Lonchura striata: one gene and its partners. The protein of the gene in region 4 purifies or fractionates together with the protein of the main gene of each other region. This does not show direct contact. Links are inferred from orthologs where the notes say so. Each region holds a gene or a part of one and is shown on either strand. Other genes may lie near its edges. The genes, in order: CSNK2A2, EIF3B, EIF3J and EIF3H.

Region 1 (7,473 bases), on a different chromosome or scaffold from region 4:
AAATTTCCTGACCTCTGTGGAGGATGGTACAAGATGTTCAGGTACTACAATGCCAAAGCAGGGGAATTACTTGCTATGTGCTAGCTTGGGCTCAGTAAGGACAAGCTGCTTCAAAGAGCAAAGGCTAGGAAGACACACCAGTGACTTTCCATGAAGTTGAGATATCAAAACAGTGACTCTTGGTGAAACTCACCCTAACACCTAACATAAATTGTACTCTCAAAAATGTTAAAGAGAAAGGACTGTGCTAAACAGCTGCATCCATTGCCCAACCATGGTACTTCCCTTTAGCTCATCCCTGCATCACACAAAAACCTGCATTTCTCATCTCACAGAATCCAAATTTTTCCCCAGTTAGGAGGAGCAGAGACATCCAGTCCCTTTGCTAAGATTCCCCTGTAGATACATGCAATTATGTTTGCAATTAAGTTTTGAGTCTAGTTACAGGAAACCAGAGGCACTTTCCACAGATCAGGGTGATGTTATTGCCACACTTCACAGGTTTTCATAATGTACACAACGTGGTGCTCTGAAACTCCCTTTTCACTGACCCACTTTCCACGGAGGAGAAAGTTCATCTTTATTTATCTGGACCTTCTGCTTTTCCTTGCTCACTCACAGGAATGCTGTCTGCATTTTAATGCCAGTGGAGAGAGCCAGGGGAACCAGTGGCAACACCATCCACTTCATATCTGGGACAATCCAGTCTCCTGCTTGCAGGGCATTAAGGCAACACATTCAGGCCCCAAGGAGAAGGAGCACCCAGCTGCCCTCAGATGACTCTTGCCAGCTGACTCCCTGTCCAAGGCTGACAGGCTCCCTAGCTGTGACAGAGTTCAGCTGCCACAAGGAGAGCAGCATTGCCCCAGGGGAGGCTCTTTGGGCTGGGAACAGGCAAGGAGCAGGGTTTCTGATGACTTTTCTTGCAGCCTCCTTTCAGTCTTGCGGTGCCTTTCTATGTGGTGCCCAAGCTAGGATTTCAATAAACTACAGCAGTCCCAAAGAGGCCACCAAGGGCTCCAGAGGAGCATGCACAAGTGCACAGTTTCCCCAGGCCAGCCACCAGGCATCTTGCTGTAAAATCCAGCTCTGCACTTGCCACTTGTGACTACTGTCTGACAGCAAAAACTCCTGCCTGCATCTGCTTTAAAAAAGACAAAACCCCAAACCACAGAAGAATCCAAAGGAGGGGGAGCACGCCAAAGGAACCTGGCTTGGCAAGGACACATGAACCTCACCACTCTCACATCAGGCTCAGCCACAGAGGACAGCTCACCTGGCCACCTCCTTGCCCACAGCCAAAGCTGGGGTTTGCGTGCCTCCTCCCAGAGGCAGATGGAAGATGATACCTTTCCCAGAAGTGCTGGCTGGACAAACCATGACAAGTTCTTTGGGAAGCTAAGGCAGATCCCGAGGAAGCAGGCACACTGAGAGAGTGGGAATGTCAGCAGAGACAGCCAGACATGCCATCTGAGTGGATCTAGTGAGTGCCTTAAGGCTACAGCCCTGCAGATATGCATGTCCCGGAAAGCTGCTCTTCTCAGTGGTGCACGGGCACATTAAGCTCAGAACCCCCTGCATGCTGTGGATGAATGTGTGCCCAAATTCTTAGGACACCCATGGTCAGACACTGGCTCCCACGTGCTCTTGGGGAACAAGTGATAAGTGTTGCTGGTGCAACAAGTGACAGCCACAAGTGTCAGCCAAGCCAGAATCAAACATACTGCAACTCTAACCTTTCATCTCTGTCTTAACTCCCCTGCCTGCCCCGAGATCACCAACACAGAGTGCTGCTAGGACAATCAGCACAGCTTGCTGTGAGCTGTTGCTTCAGTGTCAAACATGGTGAGACATGCCCCGCAGTGTATAACCTGTGCACAGCCATCCCAAACTACAACCTCCCAGTGCTGCACAAAGGTCCCCACAGCTCAACCCCACCAGGTTCAACACACCAGCAAACAGATCACCAGCACTGCCAAAGTTTGGTAGGTTTCCTTGAGCCCCCTCAAGTTTCCATAGTGTTTGTAGTATGACTGTGATGAAGCTCTTTTCCACATCAGATCCTCTAAAGGACTGAATATAAAATATTGGTTCTTTTTAAACTGCTGAGCATCCCACAGCCTGGCTCTGGAAAGGCCACATGCCGGCTGTCTAGAGATTAACAGAAGGATTCCCCCCTCCAGGCTTCACATTCCTGTTGAAATGGCTGTCCCTGGGCTGTTTCAGACAGGCATTGCCAGATACGATTTGCCAAACACAGACAGAACACGCAACGCTGTTCAAATGTCAGGACTCGGCTCTCCCCCACCAGAGGAACTCTCAGCCCTGAGCTATGCTGGACAAGGAGGGGTGGAGACATCAGAACATCACTACAGTACTCAAGACACCAATTCCATTTCCAAACACACCATCCCAATGATCTTAACGAGAAAACAGGAGTTTTGGAGTGAAGAAAGAGATCCAACAGTTCTTTGGCCCTGCCAACCCAGCTTCTCTCTGTCTTGCTCCCAGCCACCACAAGCCTCTACATCATCAACGGGATACTCACCTTGAGGATCTTCACGACGACCCTCTCGTTGTTGGTGATGTTGATGGCCTCAAAGACCTCGCTGTACTTCCCTCGGCCGAGCTTTCGAACCAGCTGGTAGTCGTCCTGGTTGCTGCGGGCACCAAGAGGAGAGAGGCGGTGCTGGGGGAAGAGCGGACAACTAACACGGCAGCAGGCCGGGGAGCGGGGTCCTCTCCCAGCCTCTCCCCGCCGCAGCCCCCCGGGACACCCCAGCACGGGAGCGGGGGACCGGGACATCCTCCCCAGGGGCCGGGGCCCTCCCGCGGGAGGAGGGAGGGCGGGTCCCCGCACGGCGCTTTACCCCCAGCTCGGGACGTGCGACTCGTAGTCCCAGTACTCGCGGCTCCTCAGGCTGTTCACCTCCGCGTACACCCGCGCCCGGCTGCCGGCGGCCGGGCCGGGCATGGCGGCGCCGGGCGGCGGCTGCAGCAGGAGGAGGAGGAGGGCGCGGGGCCGGCGCGGGAGGCCGGCGAGGCGGGGCGCGGCGCGCAGGAGGGCGGCGGCGGCGGGCGGCAGGGCCAGGCCGGAGCGGGGCCGCGGCGGGGCGGGGCCGGCCCGGGGGCGGCGGGCGCGGGGCCCGCGGAGCTGCCGAGGCCCGGGCCCGGTGCCGGCGGCTGCAGGCGGGGCCGCCCCGAGCGCCGCGCAGCCAACCCGGAAACGGCGGCGCCGCCGCCGCGCCCGCCCAGCGCCGCGCGGCGCCCCCCGGCGGCGCGGAGGTCCGGCCCCGCGGCCGCGCCCGCCCCGCGCCCGCCCCTCAGGCGCCGGGTCCCGCCGCGGAGCCTCCCGGTCTGCTGCCACCCGTCCCGTGTCGCCGCCCAGCCCGGCAACCCTCTGCAGCCGAGCCGTCCCCAGCCTCCCCTGCCTGCTCCATCGCAGCCTGGCGCACGCCCGCCACACCCTGACACCCCCGGCACTCCCTCACACCGCTGCGGACAGCGTCACCTCTGCCCCCTCACGACCCCACCTCAGCCTGGCCACAGCCCTGGTATACTGTCACCCCATCGCCGCCTGCAGTCGCACTCTCTCCTTGTTCCTGTCGCCCCATCACGTCTCGCCAGCCCCAAGGTGGAAGCTGGGGTGAACAAAAGGCTCCGTGTTCCTCTGGAGGAGCTCACAGAGCCGCAGCCGGCTCCTCCGGAGGTCATCTGGTCCGAGCCCTGCTCCAGCAGGGTCACCCAGGGCTGGCGGTCCTGGCTTGTGTGCAGACAGCTGCTGGACATCTCCAAGGATGGAGCCTTCACAACGTGCACGGCCAGCTGTGCCAGTGCTTGGTCCTACTCAATGAAAAAGTGTTTCCCCAAGTTCAGAGGGACCCTCCTGTGTTCCAGCGTGTGCCAGTGGCCTCTGGTCCTGGCACTGGGCACCATTGGGAAGAGCCTGGCTCCCTCTGCTTTGCCCCCTCTCTCAGTCCCTCATTCACCTCCGTGTACCTTCACTGGCCTCTCCCCACTGTGCCCCTATCTCCGTGGCACTGAGAGGACCAGCACTGGACACAAAGCACTAGCGGTGATCCACCACGGCTGAGCACATCCCCTCTCTTCACCTCCTGTTAATGTTTTGACTAAGGCAACCCAGGACACCCTTAGTCTTCTCTGTGGTTTATGTTCAGTGTGGTGCCTGCTAAGATCACCAGATCCTTTTCAGAAAAGCTCCTTCCCAACAGACCTGGATGTGGTTATGACCCCTGAGATACTGTGCTAGTGACTGGCCTCCAGCTAGAGTTTGTGCTGCTAATCACCACATTTTCAATCCACCTCACCTCCTTGAGTCCCAGGGGAGCTACCAACCCCAGCTCTTCCTCAAGCCCATGTGGGCTGGGTGCAGCCCGGTCTGGAAAGATAAGCATGTGGATTCAACCAGACACTGAAAAACCCAGTGAGCTTTCTGTGTGCCTGAGACTGAATGATGAAAAAACCCAGGAGGACTTTATAATTTCATACTTTGAGTCCTGACTGAATGCAGACCAGGCAGGACTTTCACAGGATCTTTGGAAAACAAGGAGGACATGTTCATGATGCTTGCTCTTCTGGGGCAGTCAGCCCTGGAGGGAAAAGGCAGATGTGACACCCACTCCTGCGAAACCTGTCTTAACAAAGCAAGAGGAAGATCATCTGTCCTTTGGGAAGGCTGCCCCATCCTGAGCCCAGCTGACTGGCCCTTCCTACCACGACTGTGGAGTGAAGACAAACATCATCTCCTAGGATCTGGAGATGTAGAAATGCATAAGCAAAGCAGTCAGGCCCTGCATAAACTGGAGCTGATGGCAGATATGCAAAGGCCAATGCCTGAGTCACCAGCTGAAGCGGCGCTGTGACGCCAGGATGTGCATGTGGCTGTTTTTGCAGAGTGAGGTGGTTGGAGCTGCCCTGCTAAACAGCTGAGATGTTCATCTCTCACAGCAAATTCTGCATGGGACCACAGCAAAATCCTGTGCTAAAAGGGAATTTCTCTTCCACATGGTGCTACTATTTGGGCAGAGATGCTCAAGCATAGAGATGGCAATTTTTTTTTTTCTGATGGATAATTTTCCTGGTAGAGTCCACTGAGTTGTCAGCAATTTCATCACTGGTGACATCTTCCTTGATGTTTTCCAGTGGGACACAGGCAGGCTATTGAACTGGCTTGCCAGGCTGATTCCTGGCAGGAAAGCTGGCCAGTTGCTGCCAGCTCCTCCAGCTGGTGCCTGGGCTGCCCAGCTCTGGGCACCACGGCTGCCTGCTGCCTTCTAATGCTGCCCAGCACTGCCCACAGCAAAAAGCCCAGTTTGCAGTTATGGGAAGTTTGCCAAGCTTTACCTACCTTCACTGAAATGCTAGAGGTCTGTTTTTACTACTACTATTACTACTACTACTACTATTATTATTATTATTATTATTATTATTATTATTATTATTATTATTATTTTCAAATCTGGCCATAACAGCCCAGGTGTTTCCCACCTGGGAAAAGTCAAGGAAAATATTTGTTTAGCCATTAAGACAAGATCTCTGGACAAGGGACAAATTTTCTGGCAGAGATATGCTAGGTCTCCTGCTGACCTTTGAAAAGCTGTGTGTGGCTGGACAGAGCTATAAACACTTCAAAAATCTGCACTCCACATTTTGCATCTGCAAAATCTCTTGGCTGTCCAGTGATGCCATTCTTGCCCACCACCCATCATGGCTCTGCTGGGTCACTCAGATGCCTCTCCTTTTAACCTACTGAAACATGGCCTGTGGCAGGCTGAGGCATCACAGCCATGGCCTGGTGTGGAGACAGGGTGTTAGAGTTATCTTTGCAATCTTAGCCAACACACACAAGCACTGCTTTGAAGACAGCTTTTAATTCATGTCCACATGTTCAGCTTTTTCATGGGATCTTCATCCCACCTTGCATCCAAAGATGAACTCCAGGGTATGCCCTATGCATGCTGTTCCCTCCTCTTCATTCCAAACCACTCAATTTCTGGTGTCAAGTTCTGTATGTGGTGAAGATCCCACAATGAAGGATGTTCATCCCTGCACCCAACAAGGCCAGGAAGTGAGGTTCCTCCTGTGAACTGGATGTGGTTATGACTCAAGATGCATTTTGAAGATGAGTTTTGACATGTTCTAGCCAGAAATAGGACTGGCTTTGCCAGGGCATTGATTTTTCTCATGTATATATGATTAGATTGACTTGCATCCCTCATCCCAAAAAAAGCTGTGGTGAAGCATCACTGGCCACATCATCAGCTTTTGGAGGAGACACACACATTTAAACAGACCTGCCATCCACTGCCATTGGCCCTGAGCATCTCGCACAGAGAAGTCAGAGCACATTGCTGTGCCATGGTCTAGATCCAGAAACAGGGATACTTACAAATGATTCTCCACACCCTCACAAAGCTCCTAAAACTAGGCATGCCTGTAGGGACAGCTGCCTTCAGGACTGGTGCTACTGCTCCCCCCAGTTTTACATCCAGATTGTGACAAAGCAGTCTGTAAGAGGAAGATTGTAGTGTCACGGACAGAGAAACATCCATCGTGGTGCAGATGTACCTCAGATGGGAGCAGGGGGCCAGTGTTTGCCTGCACCCCTCTGGAGCCTTCAGCACCCAGCTGTTGGACTGAGTCCTGCCTGGCCCAGCTGGTGACAAGGAGCCCAGAGGCAGTGCCTAGTCAGGAGCTTCTGGGAGCTGGTGCTGCAGGAGCAGGAGTGATGTGCACCCCAGGAGACCCCGGGGAGGGCTGTCCCTTTGCCATCACACCCCCTGCCACTGCAGCCAATCCTCCACACATGCATTTGATCAGTTTCCAGTTTTGCATATGTACCTCTACCAGAGCAGTCCACCTTGGAGACCAGGTGCTGGTGGAACCATGACCAGCCCGTGTCTTTGACCCACAGGCCATGGGTTCCCCCAGCTTTGCAGCTCTCCGAGGAGGTCAGCACTGCCAAAGAAGCACGACCCCCATGGCAGCTCTCACAGGCAGCATGGAATTCCTTTCTGAGACCAGCACAAACCTCTTCCTTTGTCCAAAGGCACGGCTGCCTCCTTGGCAATGCTGCTGGGAGACAGGCACTTCTCACAAGGAGCTGTAGCCTCCCAGCAGCCTGGCTGTAACCTTGGAAATAATGAGTTTTCGGCTCCGTGGAGAACCAAGCCAGCCTGACTCTGCAAGGAGACAAAGCCTGAAGCCTGCTGCCAGTTCTACCCACAGCAAGATGAACACGGCTCTTCTGTGAGCTCACACAAAGCCTCCCTTGTGTAGGAAGGGATCCAGCCAAACAAATGATCTCCTTGGCTGCACGTCTCCTGGTGCTCCATCATTTTTACTATTTGCTGGATTGTTCCCACAACCAAGGAAAATTTAACAAGTAAAAGCATCTGATAAAAATCTATCAACCACAGTAAAGCACCAACCCAGCCAAACCAGTCTGTACAG
Region 2 (6,881 bases), on a different chromosome or scaffold from region 4:
TAATTAAGAATCACACTCTAGCTAAACCTTTAATTAAGCACAAAAATGAAGGTCTAAGGTAAGACACTGAAAGCCCTATTTAATCTTTGTGAAGACAAGCACACATCTTTTCACACTGAATATTCTTCTAACATATTAATACCTGAATATTTGCAGAAAGCTTTAAGATTAAGTGAAGAGCACTATAAAGTACAAGACTACAGAGAAAATAAGTTCACACCACCATACTTTTGAATTAGATAATATTTGGAGTCAGACTATGTACAGCATGCATAGACTAAGAAATAAAATTCCAAACACATGTAGAAAAACTTAAAATATGAGAACAAACTAAAAAATGTTTTGTATATGCTTATATTTCAAAGACATTAAATTTTTGTTGGTTTTGTAATTCAATAAATTTTTCTGCCCAGAAACATCACTGGAAGGATCTCCAGCAATGAGGAAAAATGAGAAACATGCTTACTTTGAATTTCAAACTACTAAAAATTTGCTTTGTACAACTTCAAGCTTCAACAGATTATTCCACATGAAGCTTCCCATTGATCTGGAGCAACATAAATCACAAATATCTACCCCATTACCACCAAGGCTATGTAGCATCCACAGAATGTTGTTTGCAATATTTATCACTCAAAAATATCATCTGCATGTGCATGCAGGAACTACAAATAACGATATAAAATACATAAAATGAAAGCATGTCCTACAAAGACATTTCCATAGGAGTCTACTAGCAAAAGGAGAAAACCAAAGTAAAACACAAAAGGGTAATTAAGGCTCCTTTAGGCATTTTTTTCATAGCCACTTCTCAAAAAAGACTTTGTAGGCCAAGGAACGCACGTTTAGATTCCTGAGTAGGAACACCATGTATAGAACCAAAACTGTAACAGACTGAAGACAAATTCCCACACCGTGCCCTTAAATTCCAAATAGTGAACAAAGGAATCTTCAAAGAGCAAGAAGCTGGTTCAGCCAGCTCCTGCTGCAGCCAGGAGGGAAGCAGGGTGTGGTGGGTGCAGGGCTATCTCCAGCTGGCAGCACTTTAAGGACCACTGCCATTATCTGAACTGAAGCTTCACTGGTACCCAAGTGTCTGTCCAACACATCCCTTCTGCTTTAACTCGGATCAGCTGCTCTTCCATGCCAGCAGCTGGGAAAAGAAGAGGCAGGAAAGGATCTGAGATGTTCCAGTCCTACAGCTGGTCCATCCCACAGGTACTCCTGAGCATCTGTGTTAGCACAGCATTGAAAGAGCCTTGGCTTGGTCACACTGGGCTGCTCTTCTCCTTGGGGAGGCACCAGAAAAATGGGAAAGGAATAAGGAAGCTCAACTAGCAACACACACAGATGGAAAGCCAGATCAACAAGAGTGACTAAACTTAATCCCTGTAATTCAGCCACTAACACTGGATTTCAGGCAGCTGAGAAGTTCACCCAAATTAATTAACAAAATAGGTGGGGGTGGAAAATATGCCCAGTTTCTAAGAAGGAACTGAACATAACAATCCCACATATACACAAAGTGTATTAAGCAGGCACTTAACAGAAAGAATCCAACTCCAAGGCAATGTTGCCAAAGTCTCTTTAAGAAACAAAAGTTCAAACAGCTGCCATACAGACTGCTAAACTGAGAACAGCAAACACTTCCTTAATCTAGGATATTTGGCTGCTGTTTTAGTAAACTAAACCAAGGACTGGAGCACAAGAATGCACCTGTATTCCACTGCCAGTTGAGATAACTGGCTGATTTACAGTTCTGTGCTTTAGAAGCATCTTTCCACTTTTGATACATGTAACAGACCCTAAAGACCCTAAAATAGCACAAATGCTGAATAAATAATGGGGAAAAAATACGTTTGCTATTCAAAAACTAAGAATATTTATCTGGAAAGACCCATCTGAAAAACACTAAATTAAGAGTTCTCACTTCTGTATGACAAGCCCATGTATAAACATTTATTGTCTGTGCAGATACACAACAGTTTGGCAATATTAAGGCAGTCAACAGCCAGTACTTTTATAAAAGTCTGGGCCGACATTTTTAGCTGCCAGAAACGACTTTCCCCTATTTTCTTATCACAAAGCACTTACATCACATCTTTGCGAGCAGTAACTCGTCTCAAATCCTATTTACCTACTGATTTCATTCTGGGCTCATGAAAAAAAAAAGAAGAACGATGAAACACAGTTTGTAACCACATCGACCATTTAAAAAATCTGTTTCTACAGCTGAGTTTAACCAGTGGAGCAAAAAGGCAAGGCAGCTGGAGACTGCGCTCAGGGGGCAGCCCACACCTGAGGTGTACAGCGGCTCAGAACCGCTTCAACAGCAGCTTTTAGAGCAGCGGGGCTGTGCGGTGCAGAGAGAACTCAAAAAGGGACGATTTGAGAAGCACAGCTCGGATGCGGAGGCGCAGGGCTCGGGGCCCAGCGCTCCCCGGCTCCCCACGGGCTCCCCCCGTCCCGCACCTTCGTCGCTGATGTCGTCCACGAAGTCCTCGGGGTCGCTGAAGGAGATCTCATCCTCGGGCTCGGCCGGGGCTGCGGGCGCGGCCTCCCCGTCCTGCTGCGCCGCGCCGGGCTCGGCCCCGGCCGCGGGCTCGGGCTCGGGCTGGGGCTCGGCCTGCGCGGGGCTCTGCCGGCCGGACGGCGGCCGCGGCTGCTCGGGCTCCTCGGGCGGCCCCTGGGACTCGCCTCCTCCTTCCCGCTCCTCATCCTCCTTCTCCTCCGGCTCCGGCTCCGGCTCCTGCGGCGGCTCCGCGGGCGGCGCGGGCGCGTCCGTGAGCTCGGGCTGCTCGGCGGGGCCCAGCGCGCCGGGCGGCGCGGCGGCCGCGGGGCTCTCCTCGGTGTCCTGCATGGGGCGGTGCCGGGTGTGGGTGCGGTGCCCGGTGCCGGGTGTGTGTGCGGTGCCGGGTGTGGGTGCGGTGCCCGGTGCCCGGTGCTCCGGTCCCGGAGCCGTCCGGAGCGCGGCGAGGCGGGGGAGGGGCGGGGCGGCTCCTACGGCCGGGCCATGTGCGCCAGGCCCAGCGGCCCGCGCGCGCCGGCACCTACCAACGCGCGCGCGGCCAGAGGGGGAGCCCCGCCCCAGCCGGCGCCGCCGCCCGCCGCCGCCCGCTCTCCCCGCCGCGCACAGGAGATTCCGGTGCCTTTGCCAGCCCCGCCTCGCTCCGCCAGCGGCGGCGGCTTCGCCTTCTCACCCCACTGCACGCCTGACATCCCTATTTCTGACTGCTGTGGTTGAGCCCAAGATGGCGCCGCCTTCCATTCTACTGGGGTGGGGTCCGGCCGAACCATCTTTTGGGGGGCGCCGTTCCATTTAGCTGCGCTGACGCCCAGTGAAACCTCCTCCCTCAGCACATGTCGTTGCCCATGACTGAGCGGCCGGTGACAGAACAATGCCGCGGTGACAGGGCAGCGCACTGCCACGAACCTCGCCCTACCGCTCCCCCCTACAATCTTTCACTATGGCTTCGCCTGATGGCAGTCGGCGCGCGCGCGGGCACTACCAAGCCGGTGCGGAGGGGGAGGCGCGCGGTGCTTCGCCAGCATCGACGCGGTTGTGCCGGGGCGCGGCGAGGGCGGCGGGTCAGCGCACCCCCCGCGGCGGCGGGGCCATGTGGTACGGCCCGGCGGCAGCGCCACATCAGCCGGGCGGGACGGGGCGCGGGGCTGAGGGCGGCGGCGGAGACCGAGCGCTGCTCTGGCCCCACCTCTCCTCTGTGGGCTTGAAATAACATTTTTCCTGAGGTACAAGGTGACAGTGGCCATGCTGCGGCATCTCTGCCTGCCCCGCGAGAAGCCTTAAAGGTCCGGTGAGCTCCCGGTGCAGCCGGACACACAGGACAGGGATCTGAGGGGTCACGGTGTGCAGTCCTGGCGGCTCAGCGTGATTTTTAAATGGTTTCTGAACTGGTGAAGCTCCCCTATCTTCACGTTGGCTACCAGCATGACTGACCCCAGAGACTTGGCCACACGTTATCGATTAAAGCATCGCATGCTGTCCCGGGCACCTCAGGCTGATGAAGAATACAAAGAATACATAAAGTGTGACTCGTGTCACGATGTGTATTTATATACATATATATGTATATATACATATATATATGTATATATATACATATATATATGTATGTACATATATATGTACATACATATATACATACATATATATGTATGTATATATATATGTACATATATATATACACACACATATATATATATATATATATATCGTATATTCAGTGTGGCTCAAAGAACTTGGAATTTACCTTGAGATGACAATTCTAGAGGAAAAAGTTCTCGAGAATGGTTCCTCTGTACAAACTTGGAGACAAACACTTGCGTTGAGTAGGATTTCTTTTTTTAGCACAATGCTTTCAATTAACTGTCAAAACAGACAATGCCAGCATTAAAAAAAAAAAAAAAAAAAAAAGGCAGAGAAGGTACTGTACATGGCATTTTTAAAATTAGACTTTGTGCTGTGTAATTTTTCAGGGAGGCACACGATGGCATCCAAACTCCACTCCAGTCCCCCGGCTGAGTGTGCCCGTTCCCTGCTGAAGGCAGCTCCGGTGAATGGAAATGATGACTGCCACTTTGCAGCAATTTTTCCCCCTCCTGGTATCGTGGTAGCTGACCAGACCCTGACTTCCAGTCAGCACCAGCACTGACTCTGAAGTGAACAGAAAGTGCTGTTTCCTGCCATCACAACTGTGTGTTTTTCCAAATGTGAGGCAGGACAGGCTGCTGGTCAATCCATGGTCCCTGCTGGGTGCTCAGTATTCCGTGGCTCTTCCAGGGCTGTGTATGAGGTCGGTGTTGCTGTTGTTTCACCGTTCCCACCGTTGTCTGCATTGCTGGAATGTGCAATTTCTGCAATTGCCCTTTTTCCTGTTTGCACTTTTCCAGTCCTTTGGTTAAGCAGTGGATCTAAACATTGGATTCTCCTTTCCCTGACATTGCACAGGCTGCTCTTTGCACTTTCCTCTACTTTTCAGCAACTTTTGATTTATCTGCTCTTCCTTCCTTCTCCTTTTCCTTTCTCTGTTGAAATTTCCCCTCAGTCCCTGTCCTATCTCACTGCTATTCTTTTTTCTTCCAGCCCTTACTCAGCAATCTGAGGGAGAGTAGAACAACTTTTAAAAACAGAGGTTTTGGCACTGGCAGCTGAAGCCTGTTCCTTTAAGTACTCCACATGCAAAACTCCTAATCAATGGGAAATTTGGGGGGAAAAAATGTTGCAGGAAAGGCTTTTTGTAACACAGCTCTCCAACCAGCAGTGCCTCATGAATTTTATTGCGTGCAGGTGATCTGAGAATAGTGGAGCTGACAGCTCTGTTTCCTAAACTGAATTCTGAAGGAGTAAGCAAATTCTTGTATGAAATTTCATCTAATCCTGACAGGACGTGCCCAGAATGACACTCTGTGAGGCAGGGCCTCGGGTAGGGACCTATTTCTGCTTTGCTTTTGTCACCTGGAACCTGCTGGTTCAGCCCCTCTGGTGAGCCCCAGCTGGAGTCGTGCATCCAGCTCTGGGGTCCCAGCACAGGAGGGACAGGGACCTCTTGGAACAGGTCCAGAGGAGGCCAATAAAATGCTCAGAGGGATGGAGCAGCTCTCCTGAAGGAAAGGATGAGATAACTGGGATTGTTCAGCCTGGAGAAGAGAAGGTTTCAGGGTGACCTGACTGTGGCCTTTCAATACCAGAAGCGGCCTGCAAGAAACATGGAGAGAGACTATTTACTAAATTGAAATAGAGTAGGTTTTGATTAGATATTAGGATTATTTAATTAGATATTAGGAAAAAAACTCTACCCTGTGAGGGTGGGGAGCCCCTGGCACAGGGTGCCCAGAGAAGCTGAGGCTGCCCCATCCCTGGGGGTGTCCAAGGCCAGGCTGGATGGGGCTTGGCACAACCCAGGCTAGTGGAAGGTGTCCCTGCCCACAGAATGGGGTTGTAACAAGATGATTTTTAAGGTCCCTTCCTGACATGTGTCCTTTTTTTTCTTTAGTATTTATTGTTTATTCTTAAGGTTTTCCAGAAGCTTTTGCTGCAGTTACAGCAAATACAGAAGTGTTCAATAACTTACATCAAGCAGACTCTTTCTGATCCTGTTGAAAAATTATTTCTGCAATTGAATTATTTTCCACAATATTTTTCTTCAAGACTCCAAGGCAATCTTCAGTTGAGAATATCTTATTTATACCAAATAAATAGTTATGCTATTAGCTTAAGTACAGACCAATCAAAAATCTATAGCTAAATGAGAACATGTTGATTCCTCCATTCATTTTCTCCAAAAATGCCATATAGGCGAAAAATCCTGTGGTGTTCAGAAGTGCTGAGCACGCAGAACTCTGCTCAGCTGCTGCACAAACATGATTTGAAGGGCCTCTCAGCTTAAATAATGTCATGCTTTTTTAATTTTATACACAGCTTTCGTCTGCACCCACGCTCGTGGGGACTGAGCTGAAATAGCACTGAGGGAGGAGGAAAAGGAGAATCACTCGACTCATTCACATCTTTGTAGCAGCGCAAAAACTTCCAAAGGGGAGCACTGTGGTCACAGTTAGCCCTGAAATAATTCTCACTTCATAATTTTCTACTTTAGTTCTCTCCTGTGCACAATGGAGGTGACTAGCTTCCCATGATTAAGAAATATCAGGAATATTAATTAGGGAATGCATCTAGTCCTTTGGACGTTGAAAACATAAAGCATTATTATGGATTGTAACACCTCAATCTGGAAGTCCAAAATCTATAAATTTTTTTCTGTGTCTGACAGTGTTTTTAGGAAAATTGCTGTACAAAACATGCACCTTTTTTTTTACCATGTCAGCTATATCATTCCTGACTAATAAAGTACAGGAAGTGGGAA
Region 3 (7,829 bases), on a different chromosome or scaffold from region 4:
AATTCCGAGTCCTGCCAGCCTTGCCTGGTTTATAAATCCAGGGAATTCCGAGTCCTGCCAGCCTTGCCTGGTTTATAAACCCAGGGAGTTCTCTGGGAGGAAGAGCCAGCTGCCTCATGCTGTGTCCTTGCAGTGATACAGTAATTCCCAGAGAACACATTCATTGCCCAGTATTTCAACACTGTTTCTGTGTCCTCCAGCAGCCCAGGAACATCCTCCCAGCAGCTGGGAGGTGGCAGGGACTGGGCCCTGGCTCCCAGCTCCAGCCCAGCTTGGGATGGAGCAGGCACTGCCCTGTGCCAGCCCTGAGTCAATGGATGAAAATCCCCTGGCAGCAGGCCTGACTTCTGGGGAACGTGTGCTGGGGAACACTGCGAGGAGTTTTGTTACCAAAGGTGCTAATTTTAAACCCGGGAAGCTGACGTTTCCCAAATTAACAGTTACTGCAAACTCATTACCAAAAACCCTTCCAAAACACAGATCTGCAGATACAAAGCACACTCCTCAATGTGAGGTGCCTTAGGAAAGCCGTGGCCAGAAAACTTTGTGCTGCCACTTTAGACCACGTCATCCCTCACGTGGGGATTTCCCCATGTGGGGCCTGGCACCGAGGGATCCAGAGCTGAGCAGGAGTCTGGCAGGAAGAGCAAATCAAAGGGAAATAAACCAAAATAAACCACCTTTCTTTGCTGGATCCTCTCTAGACGCAGCTCTGGCACCAAACCCATCATCCCTCAGAAATAGTCAAGCAGCTGCATCCTCACGACACATAAGATGTAAAATGTCTTCCCACTGCCAGGGGCAGGGATGGATGGGATACTGGGAGGGATTGTTCCTGGGAGGGTGGGCAGGGTGTGGGATGGAACTCCCAGAGCAGCTGGGGCTGCCCCTGGATCCCTGGAATGTCCCAGGCCAGGCTGGACAGGGCTTGGAGCAGTGGGAGGCGTCCCTGCCATGGCAGGGGTGGGACAGGATGGGATTTAAGGTCCCTTCCACCCCAAACCATTCTGGGATGGCATGTGGGGAACATTTGTTCCTTTATTAAACACAGACCCCTCAGGTGACTCCAAGAGAAGCACTCTGGTGCAGTTCTCCTGGGCACATCCCATCCAGCAGGAATGCTGCTCACTTTCTAAGGAAGGAGGAAAGGCAAATGTCACAGTCTGAGCTACAGGTGTCTGTGCACACCTGTCAGTCACAGAGGGGTCAGTCACACACACCTGTGTCACTCCCACACTCTTTCCCAGTGCCCGGAGCTGCTGTGCACACACCGTCCTTGTCCTGCTGCTCTAACCTGACACCGGGACACTGGGCTGGGCTTGCTACTGAGTTAAAGAAGGGAAGTTACCAAATTTCTGTGATTCTGTGTGTATCTTCAGGGTTTTTAAAAGATTAACTTCTTTTCCTGTACCGTTTATGGGAAGAACTCCACCTGAGCCCCAAGAAAATCTCGTGGTGCTTTTCAGAGATCCTGGTAACAGTGTCCTCAAAACCAACCCCAAGTCCTCACCCAGCGCTACAATGTCCCAGAGCTGGAGGAAACAAAAAGAACTTTTGTAGTTGCCTTATTCCACTGACAGAATCCTAGGATGGTTTGGGTCTGAAGGGGCCTCAGAGACCACCCAGCTCCACCCTCTGCCGTGGGTCGGGACATCTTCCACCCTGCCTGGCTGCTCCAAACCCTGTCCAGCCTGGCCTTGAGCAGTCCCTGGCACTATCCATATGGATCCGGAGGTTTCTGTGGCACCACCAGCCTTCCAGGGGAGTCCAGCAGGAGCAAACAGCGTTTGAGGGAGCTCTGCCTTCGGAAGCACCAGCAGCGATCATCCACAGGTTCTATCCCACCGCCGTGCAGACAGCCCGGCAGGACGCACCTCGTGGTGAGCGGGGCAGGATGAGGTGGAAGCTCAGGAGGAAAAGACGCCCTGGTGGAGCACAGCCGCTCCCGGCCAGCAGCAGAAGCACCAACGCAGCGCTGCCGTCCTTCAGCCCGTCCCGGCGCCTCGCCAGCGCCCCGAACAGCTCCACGGGCTGCAGCCAGCGGGGGCACAGCGCCCCAAAGCCGGGGAGCAGCCGGGGAGCGGCCGGGGAGCGGCGGGTGGATCCCGCGGGGAGCGGGACGTGCCGCTCCGGCAGCGTCTGCGCGACCCTCCCCGCCCGCGGGGCCCGGGACAGCGGCACCGGCACCGGGCAGGGCCGGCCCGGCTTCTCTTGGCACCGGGACGGAGCCCGGAGCCGCCGGCACCGGGAGCCCCGGGCTGTCCGGTGCCGAGCCCCGAGCCCGCCCCGCAGGTCCCGGGACAGCGGCTGCGGGCAGGGCCGGCTTCTCTTGGCACTCCGACTTGGCTCCGTGACCGAGCCCGGAGCCGCTGCCGCGCGGGCGGAGCCGCCGGCACCGGGAGCCCCGGCACCGGGAGCCGCCGGCACCGGGAGCCCCGGCACCGGGAGCCGACGGCACCGGGAGCCCCGGCGCCGGGAGCCCCGGAACCGGGAGCCGCCGGCACCGGGAGCCCCGGCACCGGGAGCCCCGGCACCGGGAGCCCCGGGCTGTCCGTCCCGGCCCCGCCGGTGCCGAGCCCCGAGCCCGAGCCCGGCCCGGAGCCGCGCACGCCGCCCGCCCCGCCGGGCCCGCGGCCCCGCGCTCGGGCGCCACACGGCCGCGGCCCGGCCGCCCCCGCCGCCCCCCGGAGCCGCCAGCGGCGGGGCCCGCCCGGCCGCACCTTCACGTCGTCCTCCTCATCCTCGCCGGCCCAGCGGTCCCCGGCCACCCCCGGCACCAGCCGCTTCGCCACCGGCTCCACCACCTCGAAGCTGTCGGCGTCTGTGGGGAGAGGAGCGCGGTGAGCGGCGGGGAGCGCGCGGCGGCCCCGGCCCGGCCCGGCCCCGGCCCCGCCGCACCCACCCCACGAGTCCGCCGCCTCCGCCGCCATCTTGGCCCGACCGCGGCCGCCGGGCGGCGCCGCGCGGGGCACGCCGGGACGGCGGCGGAATGACCGGGCCCGCCCCGGAGGCGGGGCCCGAGCGCGGGAACGGGGCGGGGACGGCGCGAGGGGCGGGACCGAGAACGGGGCGGGGCCGGGAACGGGGCGGGAACGGCGGGAGGGGCGGGACCGAGAACGGGGCGGGGCCGGGAACGGCGGGAGGGGAGGGACCGAGAACGGGGCGGGGCCGGGAACGGGGCGGGAACGGCGGGAGGGGCGGGACCGAGAACGGGGCGGGAACGGCGGGGGCGTGGCCGGGGCGGGGCCGGCGGGAGGGGCGGAGCCGGAGAGGGGGCGGGACCGGGATCGAAAACGGGAACGGGACCGGGAAACGGGATCGAGATCGGGGCCGGGATCGGGATCGAGATCGGGGCCAGGAACGGGAACGGGACCGGGATCGGGACTGGGATCAGGATCGGGACCGGGATCGGTACCGGGAACGGGATCGGGAACGGGACTGCTGCTGGGAACGGGATCAGGATCGAGAACGGGATCGGGATCAGGATAGGAAACGGGATCGGGATCTGGACCCGGACCCGGATCGGCCCCGGGACCGGCATCCCGCTGCCCCGGCCGCAGCCCGGGTCTGTCCCGGGGCCGCGCCCGCCCGGGAGCGGAGCCGAGCCTGGCCGCCCGGGACCGGCCGTGCTCCGGCACGTACCGGCACGGCCCGGCACGGCCGGCACGGCCGGCACGGCCCGGCACATCCCGGCACATCCCGGCACGGCCCGGCACATCCCGGCACGGCCCGGCACGGCCGGCACGGCCCGGCACGGCCCGGCACATCCCGGCACGGCCGGCACGGCCCGGCACGGCTCGGCCCCGCCACGCTCGGGCCGCGCACGCCGCGGCGCCAGGCTCCGCTTCCCCCCGTGCCCTGCAACGCGAACAGGAACGGCGGAGCCGCTCGCTGTTCGCTTCTTCACCGCCAGTCCCAGCTCCCCTGAGAACCCCGCACGTGGAAAAGGAGGATAGATTTTGTCCGGAGAGAATAAATTTAGAACGTGTCTTTCATAAACCAAAGCAATGATCTCGGTATACGTCTATATAAACCACACACGTGTGTCTAGGAAAAACACGAATTAAAAATAGAGACTTCCAAAATTATCATCCTTTTCCTGTTCTTCTCCATTTACCAGACAATATAAATAATAACAGAGCCATACCTACGGATCAAACAATGCCACAAGTTATATCCTCACCAAGTCTACACATCTTCACAGCCTCAGGGTGCTGTGGCAGGTGATCACAAAATCACCAGGAATTGTGCAGTAATTTGGAATACGTTAATACTGGAATATGTAATTTGGAATTCTAAGGAATTACACAGAACGTTTAAATTTTTCCTCGATAGTAAAACACAGACACAACTTCTTCCACTTCAAGGCTGAAAACTGTCTTGACTTATAGAAAACTGAGGCTCAGTGAAGGATATCAGCTAAAAATCATAAAAACAGAATCCAGAGCATAAGTGTTTAATTACATCTTTGTGCTTCTGTAGACTAGAAATGATTGCAGAAGAAACAGAAATCCATAGCACAGGACTTCTCTTCCCATCATATTTAACAAGATTCGGCCCCATCAGTACAATGACATTTTTGCAAGTACCAAGAACAAAACCTTCTCCTCCTCCTCCTCTCCCGCGGGTCCCTCCTGCCCGGGGCAGCCCTGGCACTGCGATGCTGGGCAGGGCAGGGCAGGGGACGATGCTGGGCAGGGTTTTTGTCACAGCAGGGCTTCTGTCACCCTGCCAGGGTGGCTTCCACATTTCAGGGCTCTCCCCAAACGCCATCCGTCCCTTCGCCGACACCGTCCGCCAGTGGTTTGGGAGATTCCCCATCCAGTCCGGGCACATTCGGGCTCCTGCTACATTCAAACCATGGAAATCATCAGGTGGGTGAATCCGAGGTGGGGGAAGCAGGACCAGAGGCGAGGGCAGTCCCAGGGAAAACAAAAGCCTGAACAGGAACTGCCACCCAAGGGCTGGAGTGTGACCGAGCTGCCAGAACCAAGGGGCTCCAACACAGAACAGAATCCACGGGGACACGGCAAACAGGCCACCACAACCCAGCACAGAGCACAGAGGAAATCATTCAGAACCTTGGCAATAGGATGCGGTGCCTTCCGTAAGGACAAAACCATATTCCGTGAGGGATGGGTGATCCAGCTGCACGGTGCCCTGCTCGGGGGGCACGAGCCACGCTCGCACTGGCTGAGCCTGCCCAGGCACGGGGGTGGTGCTGGGGACACAACCTGACCCAGAGCTCGGCACGGGAACAGGGAACTCCCCCTCGAGATGAGCATGACAGAAATAAAACCTGTGGATGAAAACTGCTCCGCACCAGGAAGGTTTGCAGGAGGCAGGAGCGCTCTGCAGAGTTCAGTGGTAAACACCAGGCTTGCAGCACAGGAAAATATGAATATTTAATATGTTTACTAAGAATCCCTGTCAGTCCCGTTGTGCACCGATGCAGAGCTACGTCCCCACGTTTACATTCGGGCTTCCCTCGCGGATCTGACGGGCACAGCACGCACACAGCTGGGAAGTGCGGCGTGCCTTTGGTTTCCTCAGCTCTGGAAGCACTTTTGGAAGGGCCGGAGCCACAGAGGACCTGGGGATAAGGATGTTACTGGAACAGGTGAACATCCCATCACGGCTGGAAAAGGCCACGAGCTACAGGTGGGCTCCGTCTGGCAGATCCGTGAATTTTACAGCAGGTCCGTGGTGTGGAGGAACGGGAGGAATCCCCTGTTAGGCAAAGCTCCAGCAGGGAAGCGAAACCCCTCGGACTCAGATTTACACGGCGAGGAACGAGTGAGGAAGGGCTGCAAACCGAGGGGCAGCTGCACAAAGCTGCCCCTTGCAGGGTCCATCCATCCAGCTCTCCACCAGGGGACACGGCTGCACCAAGCAGATGTAAAGGTAATGTTCTGTACATTTTATTTCAATAAAGACATAAGACAAACAGCGTAAAGATGCCCAGATGCCCTAAAGATAAATACATTTAAAAGATTCTCATTAAAATGAATCTGTAGTATTTCTTTCCTGCAAGCAAAATACCTTTCTTTAAATACAAAAAAAATCAGTATTCTGAATTGCAAACGTTTTCACTTTTTTTGCAGAAAATCTGCCATGATGACTTTGTTTTTAATGAATAAGGATTTTCCACAAAACAGGCTTGCTCTACATGCTAAGTTTTAACAGTTCAGTGACACCATGTGCTAGCTACATACACAACAGATAATATAGTAAGAAAACACTCAACCTGATGAAAAGTTAAAATCTTCATTAATACACTGGAAAAAGTTGACATAACTCATGCCTTTTAAAATCAAAAATACAAAAATTAAATGTTTTGCTAAAAAGATTTTCCTTATTTTAAGGACTCATTTGAAAATGAAGCTGCATGTAATTTGTACAATAAAATTGTACAAGTAAACAGGTAATATACATAAAAAATTAATTGACATACTTCTCAATTATCAGCTGTCCACCTTTAATTTCCAATACTGTACTTTCTTATCAAGCATACAAAATAGCAAACTTCTCTTTAGAAAAAGTGCCGTTCTGTGACATCTTTTACACAAAACCAGTCCGAGCCTGTGGCGTGGTAATGCAGTCGAGAGGCAAAGCTTCCTAACTCGTACAAATGCTACCTTCCATAGAAAGCCTCCGGGAAAGGCGACTCCCACGGCCAGAAAAGGTCCCCTCGGGGCGCTGCATTAGGAGCCAGGGCCGGGGTGGCCGCAGAGGAACCGGGAGTGTCGCGGGAGCCCTGCCCGGGGCAGCGGGAGCAGCCTGGCCACACCTGCCAGGTGAGCACACAGCAGAGCTGAGGTATTCCTTGTCCATCGTGGCGCCGCTGCCAGGTGTGCTCTGTCCAGAGGACGTGCCAGCGCACTGCTTTAGGATATTCCCAATATTAGTAATCCTTATCTTCGTCTTATCTAGCCAGTCTCTTGATTTTTTTTTGAAAAGGTTTCGACTACAGTAGAATATTACAGAAAGAAAATATAAATGCGGGGTTTTTTTGTTGGGTTTTTTTTTTTTTTTTTCTTTCTAAATGAAACTTACGTGGGCTAAAACTAGAGAATATTTTTAAACAAATATACAGGATGCAGGCAGACAAAGCAGGGAAACGGCCAGCCAACTGTTTAATAAAAAACTAACAAAATTTGGCTATTTCCAGAAAAACTATGAAGCGCCTCAACTAAAAGGAATGCATAATGAAATTCTAATCTAATACAGGTCAAAAATGTAAAAAGGTTATAAACCTTAACAGGAAAAATAAAACAACTTTTACTGGCCATTCCTGTTGAAATGAGAATCTTAAAAGTAACAGAAAAGTGGCTACAAACCCACTTAGAGCACCGAACAGAGAGAAAATCCGAGTCCATTTTCAATCTCTGTTGTATCATAAAATCCTGTGTTTCTACAGGTCAAACTGCTGGTGGCAGAAACAGAATTTTCTTTATAAACTGCAGATGTCCTGTACATAAAAAATTTCCTTGGAGTTGCACTAGTTCTAAAGACTTTTCTGTTCTAGCCTCCCTACTGCGGGTACTGGATTGTACTGATGGCGGCAACCTCAGGTGCAGAAAGTCTCTTTCTGTAACCCTTGATCATTGCTGGGCACCAAAGATAAGAAAAGCAAGACGGGGTACAAAAATGCAAAATTTCAACAGTAATGGCAATGTTTTGTATTAGTCCAACAGGGTCCTGCATTTCCTCCCCTCGGCAGCGAGAGCAAAGGCTTTAATCGGGGGGTAGCAAATCATGCAAGCGAAATCTGTCTCTGATGTGAGGTCGGACGTCTTCGTTCTGTGGGGGAAAGGGCAGGTTTAGGA
Region 4 (7,038 bases):
TAAGTGCCACATCTACATGTTTTTTCAAACACTTTTGAGGAATGGTGATTCCACCACACTGGGCTGCCTGTTACAATATTTAACCACTCTTTCAGTAAAGAAATTTTTCCTAATATCCAATTTAAACCTCCCCTATACTAACCTGAGGCAATTTCCTCTTGTCCTATCACTTGTTACCTCGGAGAAGATACCAACCCCACCTGGCTACAGCCTCCTTCCAGGGAGCAGAACGAGTGGTGAGGTCTCCCCTGAGCCTCCTTTTCTCCAGGCTGAACACCCCCAGCTCCCTCAGCTGCTCCTCTCAGATTTGTGCTCCAGACCCTTCCCCAGATATGCTCCAGGGCCTCAGTGACTTCCTTGTAGCAGAGAGCCCAAAACTGAACATGGGATTTGAGGTGCAGCCTCACCAGTGCTGAATGCAGGGAGACAATCATTCCCCTGGCCACAGCACTCCTGATCCAGGCCAGGAGGCCACTGGTGTTTTTGGACACCTGGACACACACTGGCTCATGTTTGGTTGCTGTAAACCAGCACCCACGGGTTCTTTCCCACCAGTCACTCTCTCCCAGGCCTGTGCACCACTGTAAACACAAGCTCTCTTTGGGCTCCTTGACTGGAGAAAACTATCCAAATTTCTACAATAGGAAGGACAACAGGACGCAATATATGGCACTTGATCTGATCTTTTTGTCAGGATGGCCAAAAACAAATACGTGAATTCTTACATCTCACCTGAAAGAAAAACACATTTTATAATGTGCTTCTGGAGGGTTATTTTTCACTCTGCATTTTCTAATTTTTTACAAAGACCAGGCCATCTACACTGGAATCTATTTTCAATCTAAGTATTTATTAAGAAATTGAGAAGATTAAAGTAAGAAAGAAGTTAACTCCAGGATGCTTCATCTGTACCAGATTTTAAAAAGAGGTCTGAGAAGCAGACATTGCTGCATTGTTACATATTAAGGTAACAGCATAACATTTAGAACTTCTTATTTTCATGACAGATACTGGGGTTTTTTAATTTATTATTCCTCTGAAACACCAAGCTTTTTAAACATACTTTCACCTTCTCACATACAGAGATAACTGATGCATCTTCTATTTTGCCCTCAGATTCCAAAGCAGCCTACCTAGACATGCCTTTGCTTTCAAAGCAGCCCCATTTGAAGGATTAATTGTGACAATGCCAAGAGAAGAGACACCACTGAAGAGAAAGAGATCACCAACTCCCCTGATGCCCATCACAATTCAGAATTCTTGGCATGTAATCACCCTGGTCATCATCAAGATGACTGAGGAAGTCCTGTTAATTTGTGAGGGCAGATAAGACATTTAAACCAGTGAGGTATCAGAAACACTTCAGAAGAATTTCAGTAAGACATTTGAAGGACTTATAACTGAATAAACTTTGTTTGCAAAGCAAACAAATTTATGCCAACGTTTCTGTCCATCACAGATGTCAGAGAAATTTATGAACCAATGTCAATGTCCTGAGAACACTTTGGCTAGGAGACATCTTCAGGGGTGGAAAGTTGAAAGCTTTCATAGTTTTCAGTAAATCACCTCCCTCTGTAGTGACACTGTGTGAGAGGCACCACTGTGCTGCACCAGAAAAAAATACAAGGAGAAGGGAAAAAAAGCATGAAACAAACAAATAAAAAAATCCTAAACACTTGCTGGACTGTCAGAAGCAGAGCATCAGAGACACTCACAGTTGATCTGAAACAACAGCAGCTCACAAAGCAGATTATATGCCTGATAGAGAACAATCAGGAGCAACATAAATCAAATTTACCAGCTTTTATCTAAGTGTTTGGCACCAGCCTGCAGCAGGAGCAGTCTGCTATCTACTGCTGGGTTTTTACGAACATTTCACAACCAGTCAGTTTTCACCACTCCTTGAAAATGCTCCATGCACCAAAGCCACGGGCACACAGATAGCTGGACAGAGCAGGGCAGAAAAAATGGGATTCAGATTTCCTCTTTCACAAGTCCTTCTACACACAAATAAATTATTTTTCATCTTCCCAAATATTTACTACACTGTATATCTCCAGGATAAGAGCTGAGGACTACCACTAATAATGCCAAGCAGGCTTCAAAGTTTGTCTCAAAACTATGATTTTATTTTTCATAACCAGGGTACCAACTCCTTCACACTCCAGCTGTACAATGTTCTACTGACACTTGGCAAAGCTAATGAAGTAAAAAACAATGTTTCCACCCCTAAGTAACTTTTTCTCCTTGTGTCATTAATAGTGTTACCAACTTTCTAAGGCCTGAACCAACAAACACAAAAAGATCCAGCAGCACAGCCAAGAACCACCTTCAGTAGATGCTCTTCCACTTCAGGCCTGCACTGATTGTCTGTATTAGGATGGCTCTGTTCTTTGTCAAGTCATTTCACCCGTCACTTTATTTTATTTCCCATTAAGCAAACGCAGGGGGTCATGGCAGCCCTGACAGAGAAGGCAAAAAGCACAAGGGTGAGGGAAAAACCCACCGTGCTCTCAGCTCTTAGACCTGCGGCATTTTCTGGCAATAGGGTATGACTGTGAGTAGAAAAGCAGCAAAGAGCAACTCCGGGCACAGGGGCGGCGGAGCTGGAAGGTGAAATGGGACATTTAAAGAGAAATCACTCTGCCCCGGCCCGGCTTTTGCTTACACGGGGCGCGAGCCGCTCCCCTCACACGGACGAGGGCGGGAGCCCGGCCGCAGGGACGCGAAGCCGTTCTCGCCCGCGAGAGGCGCCGGTCCCAGCAGACACGAGGCTCCCGCGGCACCGCCCCACGGCGGGCCCCGCCGGCGGCTCCAGCGGCCGCCTCGCCCGCGAAAGCCCCAGGCCCCCTGCTCACCAGCCCGTCGATCTGCACTTGCTTGACGGCCGAGTCTCCCGCGGCGGCGGCCTTGCCTTTGCCCTTGGCGGCGCCGAAGCCGCCGCCGGCAGCGCCCGAGCCTTCCTTGCGCGACGCCATGGCTGCCCGCGGCCGGAAACGGAAACGCGCCCGCCGGAAGCGCCCGCGCGGCAGCGGCGGTGCGCGGCCAAACGGGCCCGGGCGGGAACGCGGATCGGGGCCCGGCACGGCGGCGGTGCCGGCTCGGCCCGGCCCGGCCGGCCCGAGGCTGCCGCAGAGCCTGTGTGGGTCTGGGCCAGCTCATCCGACAGGAACGGCCGGGAGAGCCGCCCTGGCGCCTGCCCTCCCCACAGAGTCATTGCCTTGTAAAACCGCCACGATGTCCAAGCTGTGCCCAGACGCGCCGTGTCACCTGCACCACGGCGCTGAGTGCCGCCTCCAGGCGTCTTCAACACTTCCATCCATACCGACTGCACTGCACGGGCAGCCCATTCCGGTGTTTAATCGTCCTTTCTGTGAAGAAATTCTTCCTGATGTCCAACCTCCCCTGGTACAGCTTGAGGCCATGCCCTCTGCTCCTGTCACCCTGGCGCTATTTACCTGGGAGATGAAAATTAAGAAAAGATGTTCTTTGACATTTGCTCTTGGTGTATCTTCAAGCCTAATCAACAAGAAAGGAGACTTAATCTGTGAATTAGATAGCAGCTAACAAGGGCTAAGTGATGTCCAGGCATTAGAAATTAAAAATACTTGTTGCCTTGTTAAGGACTAGTGCTGGATATGCTTCAGTGATCTCAGACCTAGGGGGAAGTTAACAATGAGCTTGGGAAGAAGGATGTGCCATTGACAGTGGGCACAAAGAATGCAGAATTTATGGGCCACGAGGACATTTGACAGACCCCTCAAGATGAGGAAGAAACTAATAAGGACAACTCAACAACTGTGCTGCATCAGCTTCCATGAGGTAAAAAGCAATTCCAGCAGTGGAAAATCATGACTCAAGAAAGCCACCAACTCAGAGGAAGAGGAAGACTTAGCATACAGACTAATTAACATGAGAAGTGAGAGAATCATTAACCAATAGAAGATAGAACACTAATTAATAAGATAACTAAGTAACTTCTTATGAATGAACATTAGTGCCTTTGTTAAAATGCATAAATAGTGAAAAGTTTTGGTAGTCATTTTGCTGGCTTTGTGGATTTGCCACCCAGCACCCCTTTCTGCAGAGAAGTGTAAAAAAATGAAATACCTCAGCTCTGTGTGGATTGGCTTCTTGCACACCAGGTGAAAGAACCTGTTTGGTACCACTTACAGGGAGATGTAGAGAGCAACATGGTCCCCCTTGAGCCTCCTTTTCCCCAGGCCAAACACCCCCAGCTCCCCCAGCTGCTCTTCATCAGACCTGTGCTCCAGAGCCTCCACCAGATCCATTGTCTATCTCTGGACTTGCTCCAGCCCCTCAATGTTCTTCTTGTAGTGAGGGGCCCAGAACTGGACACAGCCCTTGAGGTGTGGCCTCACCAGTGCTGAGGGGAGGGGAAGGGTCACTGCCCTGGTCCAGCTGCCATTTGGCCCCTGGCAAAGCATTTCTGACAGCCCAGAAACCTCCATCTGTGCATTTCCAGGGCCACCTCAGGCAGTTCTGATTCCACAGTGATGTGAATTCCCAGCCCTGTTGCTGGGCCAGCCCTGGGCTGCAGCGAGGGCTCCCCAGCATGGTTGAGGAGACTCTGGTCTTGAGGAAGTATTTACGCCTAATAAACCTGCAAATGTTAAGGGACATGTACTTCTTATAGATTTGAAAGCTTTGTGTAGTATCTTTACAAAAGGCAAACTGCTGTGGGGTGATGTGAATATCTGTCCTGAGCATGAATAACGAGACATCAGTGCCAACTCTTAACATTACACAAATCCCTGAACTATCAACTTCTGCAATTCTCAGGAATGAGTTTGGGTTGCATTAAAACAGTTGGTTTTGCTGCTCCATTTTGTTTGAGGTAGGGGTTTCTTGTGTGAATTTTTTTAAATTTAATTTCAAACTCTTCAAATTCCTTCTGAAAAATGCAACGCGCTATGAAAGGCAGCCCTACCAAACCCCCCAGATCTGTTCAGACACTATGCCAAATATGTGACTTCATAAAAATTTATCTTTTCAACAGTGTAGTTAACAGTCATTTCTAATTAAGGGTGAGGAACATATTTATCAAGACCAATATTAAAACGTATCTGCATTTGCCTGCGGCCACAGACCCAACATTTGCCTGTTCCTATAAAACGATTCTAACATCACTTAGAATAGTCCTTATCAGTTGCTTGCATTGATGCTGGAGCAAATTGAAACAAAGAATTGAGTATAATAATCATCCCAGCAAGGCAAAACATATCCTAAATTCCACTGACATCACTGACTAAACTGCATTGACCCTAACAAGAAATCTGGGCATCCAGAAGAAATCTGGGCATCCAGCTTTGCTGAGGACACCTTGTGATAGATGTCTAAAGCAGGGTATGATGGATCCCACTTCACATTTTCCATTGGGAAAATAATTCTTAAATGGAGATGAAGGGGCAGTTCAGAATGGCAGCATTGCTATGTCTGAGATTGCAAGGCAAGATGTATTCTGTTGCCATCTGTTAGAGGTGTGTCAGTTATCTTCTCTTAATTGGACAGTTTTCTTTATCTCTTCCGCAAACCAATCCTCCCACCACGGAGACATCTGCTGTTAATGGGCCATTGAATGTCACTGCATGACTGATAAAAATTACAGCATCCCACTGCAAAATGCTCCTCCCAGAGGGAGGAGGCAAGCATTTCCACCTGGATATAATGAGTTTCTGGAACATCAGCATGGCTTTTTCTGCACTGGATTTCCCAGAGGAATACCTGCCTCTTCTACTGCATCTTCAGAGGAAGACTACACCCTTTTCTACAGGATTACTGCTCCAACAGAACCACACCTAACCCTCCAGGAGTACTGCAGCCATAATTCCCAATTGGACTGCTGCCGACACCCTGACTAACAGGGTGTCAGTTGTATTCTGTCAGTGTTGTTTTAGTTCACTGCATTGTTTATTTTATCTTTTTCTTTCCTAATAAAGAACTGTTATTCCTGCTTCCATATTTCTGCCTGAGAGCCCCCCTTAATTTCAAATTGGTAACAATCCAGAGGGAGGGGGTCTATATTTTTTTTTTAACATTTCAGGGAAGGCACCTGCCTTCCTTAGCAGACACCTGTCTTTCCAAACCAAAACACACTGAGGTCAAATGTGCCTTGTGCCCCAAAGAAACTGAAGTGCATGTGCAGTGGGATCAGGGAGATTTCCTACAAGCAGTTTGTAGAGAGGCTGATGCAATAATATCCCTGATCTTCAGGGCAGTGTGCTGTGGCCAGCGAGCTCAGCTATCATGTAGGTATTGAGTCCTGCCCTTAGGTTTCCATGAAGGCTGCACTCCCACTGGCATTGACTTCTGAAGTTTTCCTAGATAATGGAGTTAATTCAATATTATTATTTAACTTAGCTGTTATATTAACATGAATATCCAGTTTTAATTCACAATATAATAGTCACAGAATCACTGAATATGCTGAGTTGGAAGGGACCCATCAGGATCACTGAGTGCAGCTCTGGCTGCACAGGACATCCCCATGACTCACACCATGTGCATGAGAGTGCTGTCCCAATGCCTCTTGAGCTCTGTCATGTTTCATGCTGTGACCACTTCCCAGGGGGGCTGTTCCAGTGCCCAGCCGCCCTCTGGGTGAAGAAGCTTTTTCTGATCTCCAACCTAAACCTCCCCTGACTCAGCTTCATGCTGTTTCCTCAAGTGCTGTCACTGGTCATAAGGGTAAAGAGATCTACACCTGCCCCTTTGCTTCCCCTCCTGAGGAAGCTGTAAACTGTCATGAGGTCTTTCCTCAGTGTCCTCCAGGCTGAAGAGACCAAGTGACCTCAGCTGCTCCTCATACAGCATCTCCTCAAGGCCCTTCATCACCTTGGTTGCCCTCCATTGCCCTCTTTAATGGTTTAATATCTTTTTATATTGTGGTGACCAAAACTGTCCCCAGCATTCAAGGTGAGGCTGCCCCAGAGCAGAGCAGAGCAGAGCAGAGCAGGACAAGCCCTCCCTTGCCCAGCTGGTGATGCTGTCCCTGATGCCCCAGGACAGGGTTGGCCC

What was found.
Region 1: the proteins of EIF3H (region 4) and CSNK2A2 purify together in Homo sapiens (affinity purification with mass spectrometry; 5 studies listed by BioGRID and IntAct, with this or other methods). This does not show direct contact. The link is inferred for Lonchura striata from reciprocal best matches to the Homo sapiens genes EIF3H and CSNK2A2.
Region 2: the proteins of EIF3H (region 4) and EIF3B purify together in Homo sapiens (affinity purification with mass spectrometry; 10 studies listed by BioGRID and IntAct, counting the BioPlex papers as one, with this or other methods). This does not show direct contact. The link is inferred for Lonchura striata from reciprocal best matches to the Homo sapiens genes EIF3H and EIF3B.
Region 3: the proteins of EIF3H (region 4) and EIF3J purify together in Homo sapiens (affinity purification with mass spectrometry; 3 studies listed by BioGRID and IntAct, with this or other methods). This does not show direct contact. The link is inferred for Lonchura striata from reciprocal best matches to the Homo sapiens genes EIF3H and EIF3J.

The regions. Positions count from the first base shown.
Region 1 is NC_134615.1:17,523,603-17,531,075, forward strand, and holds the start of CSNK2A2 (casein kinase II subunit alpha'), read right to left. Parts: upstream 3,014-7,473; 5' UTR 2,975-3,013; coding exon 2,871-2,974; intron 2,661-2,870; coding exon 2,549-2,660; intron 1-2,548.
Region 2 is NC_134618.1:13,450,549-13,457,429, reverse strand, and holds the start of EIF3B (eukaryotic translation initiation factor 3 subunit B), read right to left. Parts: upstream 3,001-6,881; 5' UTR 2,861-3,000; coding exon 2,473-2,860; intron 1-2,472.
Region 3 is NC_134613.1:24,048,866-24,056,694, forward strand, and holds the start of EIF3J (eukaryotic translation initiation factor 3 subunit J), read right to left. Parts: upstream 3,001-7,829; 5' UTR 2,931-3,000; coding exon 2,903-2,930; intron 2,822-2,902; coding exon 2,721-2,821; intron 1-2,720. Other genes in the region: CTDSPL2 (CTD small phosphatase-like protein 2), read right to left, coding at 7,738-7,803. UniProt on the Homo sapiens protein: Component of the eukaryotic translation initiation factor 3 (eIF-3) complex, which is required for several steps in the initiation of protein synthesis.
Region 4 is NC_134603.1:15,127,533-15,134,570, reverse strand, and holds the start of EIF3H (eukaryotic translation initiation factor 3 subunit H), read right to left. Parts: upstream 3,011-7,038; 5' UTR 2,979-3,010; coding exon 2,859-2,978; intron 1-2,858.